Macaca mulatta: one gene and its partner. The protein of the gene in region 1 binds, or shares a complex with, the protein of each later gene. Links are inferred from orthologs where the notes say so. Each region holds a gene or a part of one and is shown on either strand. Other genes may lie near its edges.

Evidence for each region.
Region 2: CTNNA1 (region 1) and CDH26 share a complex: the UniProt entries of both Homo sapiens proteins name them as parts of the cadherin:catenin adhesion complex. The link is inferred for Macaca mulatta from reciprocal best matches to the Homo sapiens genes CTNNA1 and CDH26.

Annotation. Positions count from the first base shown.
Region 1 is NC_133411.1:147,788,463-147,792,031, reverse strand, and holds part of CTNNA1 (catenin alpha-1), read right to left. Parts: intron 983-3,569; coding exon 782-982; intron 219-781; coding exon 67-218; intron 1-66. UniProt on the Homo sapiens protein: Associates with the cytoplasmic domain of a variety of cadherins. The association of catenins to cadherins produces a complex which is linked to the actin filament network, and which seems to be of primary importance for cadherins cell-adhesion properties.
Region 2 is NC_133415.1:112,774,666-112,778,234, reverse strand, and holds part of CDH26 (cadherin-like protein 26), read right to left. Parts: coding exon 3,559-3,569; intron 1,192-3,558; coding exon 1,006-1,191; intron 1-1,005. UniProt on the Homo sapiens protein: Cadherins are calcium-dependent cell adhesion proteins. They preferentially interact with themselves in a homophilic manner in connecting cells; cadherins may thus contribute to the sorting of heterogeneous cell types.

The DNA of each region.
Region 1 (3,569 bases):
GACGCATTGCTCAAGTTTAGCAAATGATAAGAAAGAAGCTGTTAAGTCTGAAATGCAGTTACTCACCCTTATCATCAGCACTGCTTTCCTGATGTCCCGGATACCATCATATACCAGGCGGGAGGCATCGATAAACTCATTCTCATCCATTGGCTGGGCAGGGTCCGAGCTGAGGGCTTCCACGGCCGCCTCTACTTGCTCAGTAAAACGTGGCATGACTGTGGAGAAAGGGGCACAGCAGATGTCCTGGTATGCAGGCAGCATCATTCCCCTGACCCTCCCTGAATCACTCAGCTAGACAGAAAGAGGTGAGGCTTATGATGAAGAGCCTCTGCTTCTATCTATGTGAGGAGTATTTATGGTTGAAATAAATGCAGTATTTTACAACAACTCAACAACTCAAATCATCTTTTTCTCTGCAACAGAGGGATTGGATGGTTGAGGGATTGGATGGTTGAGAACTTGGAAGTGAGACTAACTTGAAGCCTTGCTTAAGAATAGGACCTCAGGTTAATAGTTTAACCTGAGGTTAAACTCAGAAATTCATCTTAAATAGTGTGTTTAGAATTAGTCCCATGATTACTCATGAGATACACATGAAGAAAATATGCTTGTGAGGCCTGAATTTGGCTATGACCAACTTCTCAGGAGCCCAATGTGCCATGAGACCAAATCTGAGTTCCCGACTCCTCCTTCCTCACCACAGGGCTGGGCTAATCGGGTGGCCTGCCCTACTCAGGTTGCAGTGTGTGCGAGCACTGAAAAGCTAGAGTTCCCGTACCTGTGTTGGAGAGAAGCTTAGTGGCTTCCAGAACCTTCTCTGTGTAGACTCCAGGCTCATAGTTGTCCATCTCTGAGGTGACTACGTGAATGACCCGGGCTGCCCGGCCTCGAATTGCACCAGCTGTGCGGTCCAGGCCATCCACATCCTTCTCCTGGAGAGCAATGACACATTTGTTCACATCTTCCAAAATGTGATTCTCTGGAGAACAAGCAAAAAGCTGAATGAGGAAGGAGGCCTTCTATGAGAAGGTGGCAACTGTAAGCTGGCATCTATCATTTATTGTTTGCTTGGTGCCAGCCACAGTGCTGAAAGCTTTACATATATTTCATTGGAGAGACCAGTGACTAGTGACAGAGACAGAAACTAAACCTGTTATCACCCTCAAGAATAACAATCTTCATTCCAGGCTTTAAAAATAAAACAAAATAAAACAAAAAACAGGAGACATGCCCATCTTTGAGACACAGTTGTTCTGTAAGCCTGGCAGAAAATCACAGAAGCATCAATAACTTCTCTTCCTCTAGCTTCACTGACCCTGTGTCCCAAATAAAGGAAAGGCTAAATTAGAACAAAAGTCCACTGTCCGCTCTCCCTCTCCCTCCAGGAGATGCTGATGATATTCAGACAATCTACCAAGAAGCCAGTACAGCCCAGGGATAGGAGAAGGTGCTGGAAAGCAGGTTGAAGCCTTCTCTAGAGGAGCCTGAGGCATGAGATGAACTATTTAATAACCCTCTTCATGGTACACAGATGGGCTTATTGTGATATTTGAAGGGTCCCTAGAGGTGAAAACCCCTGACTCCTATGAAGCTGATGGGTGGCTCCTAACAGTCACACAGCTGAATTTGGGCAAAACACCACAACTATTTTTCCTCAAAGGAAAAAGCCTGACACTATACATTTTTAGGAACCCCACCACAAAGAGTTTGCTCAAACTCATCTATAATAACAACGTGGAAGCAAACCAAGAGAAGAGTGGATAAGTGAATTATGGGAACTATGCAGCCATTAAAGTGCATATCTGGAGGCTGAGGCAGGAGGATGGCTTGAACCCAGGAGGCAGAGGTTGCAGTAAGCCGAGATTACGCCGCTGCACTCCAGCCTGGGCAACAGAGTGAGACTCCGTCTCAAAAACAAAAACCAAAACAAACAAAAAATACCTTTCCAGAGAAGGCCAGGAAATAGTAAGAATTCTTATTAGAGAAGGGAAAACTAGATTACTGCAATATAGTTAAGACCATATTTTGATCTCTATTAATTACAGATTATGAGACTTGCCAGGGTTTATACCAATGAACTAATGAAAGAGTAAACATATTAAACTTCTAACATAAACACATTTTAAGAGGGACATTTAAACCAATTACAAGAATAAACGGATTTGGAGCCCATCACAAGCATTTCTGAAGTATATAAACTCTAATAATTCAAACTAAAAAATGTACTGAGCAGGCCAACCATACAAGGTCTTGGGTTAAAAATTGTTGCTTTTACTGGATCTAACACGATACCATTAAGATGAAACTTGCATTGCTAAGGAAAAGAAAGGAATAAAATGGAAAGTGTGTTGATAACAAAACTAAGAACCAATATTTTCTCATATCATTGATTTTAAGACTCATCCCTGTTTCAGAATCAATGAAGTATGGCATTCCTTCCCGTTCATTAAACAAAGTGACCCAAACTTCTACCAAGGATTTTTTAACCTTTGTCTAGATACATCTATTTTTTTTTTTTTTTTAAATCCATCTAGACTTTCTTGAATTCATCCTGGCCTTCTTCTAGATGAACCTAAACCAGGAAAGGGTACGCCATTTTTTAGAGTAACATTCCCCACTTCAGGAAGCTGAACAAAGTAATATTCTCTACCCTCATGAAACACTTGTCTCTAGGAAAGCCCCAGCCTCGCTGAGGCTGCCGCCCAGGACAGAGCACCCAGCCTCCTCTCCACAACTGAACCTGATGCGGGGAGGTGCGAGTCCACTGTTTAACGGAGGGGGACAGGCTGTGCCCACACTAACTGAAACCATAAATCATTTTAGCTAAGGAAACAGCATAGGTCCACTATGAGTAGATACACAAATCTGTACCCATGAACAGCTGTCCAACACATGATTTATAGGTGTGCTTCTAATAGAAAAAAATCATACACACACACACACCAGTCCATATAAAATATGGACAACTATATGTAAATGAATATAAAAGGAATTATATTATGGACACTATTGTATCTTTTTCACTTGAAAACCTTTCTAGGTATGGCCCTACAGATCTACCTCATCCATTTTAATGGCTGCATAGTACCCTACTGAAGAGATGGAGGGGCTATAATTCACTTATTCAATCTTCCCTTAGACATTCTGGTTGAAGAAAACATCCCTCTACAGGTATTTTGGCAAACATTTGCGACACTCCCCTAGAGAAAATGTCTAGCAATGAGATCGCTGAGTTAAAAGGTATATATGTTTAAAGTAGAAGTATGGTACCTAATTGCCCTCCAGGAACGATGCCGATTGGCATTCTCCATAAGAGATGTCAGAACTTCAGTCTACAATGTGTAGCGATAGAGCCTCTTCTTTGTACCCTCTGCCCTGGGTATCTTTATAGCAAGCAGCGTATGCAGGGCTGCTGCACACAAAGAAAATGAAAACGATGTTTCATACTTTATGTAGAGGATTTACCCTGTGACATGAACTATTCTGAGGGCTTGCCATGTAAACTCTATGTAGTAGGCTTAAAAAGGAAAAAAAAAAATCACCGGCCAGGTGATTTCTGATTACAT
Region 2 (3,569 bases), on another chromosome or scaffold:
AAAAACCATAGCCTAATGAAACATTAATGAGACAACCATGCTGCAAAAAAAATCAGGGGAACTTAGGGAAATATAGATATTAATGATCATAGTTATTCAGGGTACAAAGTGGTCAGTTGACTTAAAAGGATTAAAAGGCTGGGAATATTTTGAAAATTCAACCCCAGGCATCTGGTGCAATGTCTACAGAGCCTTGCTATTCATAGCATGGTCCGCAGGCCATCAGCATCCCCTGGGCGTTGGTCAAATGGGCAGGCGAATCTTGGGCCCTGCACCAGACCTGCTGATTCAGGTCTGCCTTGTGCCCAGGTGACTCACCTGCACTGCACTGCACTACAGGCCCTGGTCACTCTAGGTCTGGTTGTGAGCAATGAAGACTAGAGGCACTGGGGTCAGACTACCCCAGTGGGATCCTCCACTCCACCATTCAAGCTGTGTGGCTTTGTGTAAAGGACCTAACCCCTCTGGCCTTTGGTTTCCTAATCAGTAAATGAGAAGGTAATATTAATACTTTCTTCCAGGCCAGCTTCTCCATTAGGCACAGTGCTAGAGGCTCTCCATACTCTTAGGGGCCACATAGATGCACTCCCATTTGTTTTAAACTTTAAAAGTCTTAAACATTGAAAATTCAGATGAAAAGAAAGAACTTTTAGTGTCAAAGAAAATAGTTTCATTTTTTAAATCACATCTGAAAAAGAATAATCATTTTAAGGCCTATGTAAATCTATTATGTTATGCCTACAACAACAAAAAATTAAATGGTGAAGTATTAAGTCATATCAGAATAAGTTTTATTATTGATATTATTTTGGTAGGAGGAGTCCTCAGCCCATACACAGAAGTGGCACTGAAACCCTACCTTCCTTGCCTGGTGACACATGGTACGTAATGGTCTCAGCACCCAGCATCCACGGGCGTTAGCTCCTAGTTCATTCTGAGTGATCCTACAGCAGAGGCCTCAGCGTCTGCCACCACCTGGTTGGTACATCACTAATATGGTGTTACCTTGATAACATTTAATATCCCTTCGTTGGTCTCAGGGTCAGTCAAAATGTCAAAATGTCCTTCTTCGTTGCCATGCAATATGTTGAAATTTGCTCTCCAAGCTGATGTAAATGGAGAATCTCGATCTTGAACCAGGAGACGCACCACGCCCTTGCTGACTCGGCCTTCAGGAATCTGAATCTTATACTGAAAGAGGCAATCACCATGTGCATGTCATGGAGACAAAAACATAATTGAAAAGGCAAGCAGAGAGGAAGAAGGGAGAGACGCAGAGAGCGAGCGAGAGAGAGAAGGAGAAAGAAAATTTCCTCATCACAACGTCCTGGATATTCCTCATGCTGCTGAACCTGCACAATACCCTGGATATTCCTCATGCTGCTAAACCTGCCCTAATGGATTTGCAACCTGCCTGTTATAGCAGAAAGTGCATCTGTTGGAATATCTGCCCCTCCTACCTGTGACTTGCTAAATAATTTTTAAAGTACTCTTAAATCCAACTCAATGCCCTATTTTTTCTAAGAATTTTAAAAATAACAATACGCAATCCTAGTTTATGCTCTCTAAAAATCCTAGCTCTTCCCCTAAAATAGGACACTTGCGGTTATTCAGATTAATGTGATCATTTTTCTAACACATGTAGATCTTCGAAATAGCTTGTTATTCAATATTTTTGGAGACAATGTTTCTAGACAAGCACTTCAAAATAACACGGTATATTTTTTTCCAGCGTATTTTTAGAGCATTGGTTTTTACCAAGTCAGGAAAAGATTTTGAAACAAGGTTCAAGCATAATATTATTTTGTAGTTATTATATACTTCTGGTGAGGTGCTTTGGTTTGCAAGCATTTCACTTTGGTTTATACAGGTTTTTTTTTCTAATTAAATGACACCTTTTAAAAAATAATTGTTTGCATCATTTATTCAACAACAGCTTCTGTGTGCCACATTCCATTTCAGATGCTGTGAATAAGACGGGCAAAAATTCTGTCCTTGATGGAGCTGAGAGCTGAGTGTGTGTGTGTGTGTGTGTGTGTGTGTGTGTGTGTGTAGGAGGACTTATAAAATAAATAAAGCTAATTGATTAAGTAGAACACTACTAAGCAGAAGAAAGCACAAAAGGGCTAGAGTGTGTCCCAGGAAAGAAGTGGAAGGGTTTTAACTCAGTAGTCAAGAAAGGGCTCACTGAGAGAGTCAGGAGAAAGAAGGAAATATGGTGGATATTTACTTTTTTAAAAATACATATGGAATAGTAAAAAATAAAATATTGGAAATAGATCGTGAGTGATTCTTATTTTATCTCTTAGCCATCTCACATGCCTTAGGTGAAGCATCTATCCCAAATCATCTTACACAGTGGGTTTCAACACTTTCTTAGAGGCTGGGAGGCTTGCAGCCTGGGAAATCCCACGTGGACCCTGACATACAACGTTTTTAAAGGGTCACTGCAGTTACTTCTGTACTTGGATAAGGTAAGATGAGGAGGGTGAGGCCAAAGCCTACCTGCTCACCTTCTCTCTAGAATCCTGAACATGGTGTGAAAACCTTGGGTGCAGACTTCTTACCCAAAGGTGATTCTTCTCCCGAGGGACATTTGGCAATGTCTGGTGACACTTTTGGTTGTCACAGCTGAGGGGCGCTACTGACATCTACTGGGCAGAGGCCAGGGATGCTAGTGAATATCCCGCAGCACACAGAGTAGCCCCCACTCCAAATAATCATCTGGCCCAGTGTCAATTGGGCTGAGCATAGGAACCCCTGACTCCAAGTAAACAGGAATGCCCTGTCTTCCCCTAGAGCTCAGTTTTCCCATCTGTAAAACAGAAATCATGTCGTAGTTTCAATAATCAAAAATGAAAAAAATGCATGTAAAAGTTCTTAGCACAGTTTCTGGCATACAGCAGTCAAAAATGTAAGCTCATGTGACCATTATGAAGTGCTTCTATGTCAATATGATTTGGCTTCTTGATTCCAGCTTAAGTCACTTTGGAGAATTGCACATATCTTGGGTGACTCCCCGATATAGTTTGGAGATTTGTCCCCACCCAAATCTCATGTTGAAATGTGATCCCCAGTGTTGGAGGTGGGGCCTGGTGGGAAGTGTTTGGATCATGTGGGCAGATCCCTCGTAAATAGCTCTGGCCATCCCCTTGGTGATAAGGAAGCTCTGGCCCTGAGTTCACATGGGATCTGGTCATTTAAAAGCGTGCGGGCCCTCTTACCTCTCTCGTGCCTCATTCTCGCCCACCCACACCCTGTATCTTGCATGCTCTTGCTGTCACCAAGCGACATGCCTGCTCCCCCTTGTCCTTCCGCCATGATCATAGACTTCCTGAGGCCTTCCTAGAAGCTGGTCGGTGCCAGCACCAGGCTTCCTGTAAAGCCTATAGAACCATGAGCCAATTAAACCTCTTTTCTTTATAAATTACCCAGTCTCAGGTATGTCTTCACAGCAATATGATAACAGCCTAACACCCTCCCCAAGAAAAACTGAGCCTAGGGCCCAGGGGCTACTTGTTTTGGGGCTTAGACGTCGGGGCAGCCCCGGTGGCTCACGTTCTCCTGGG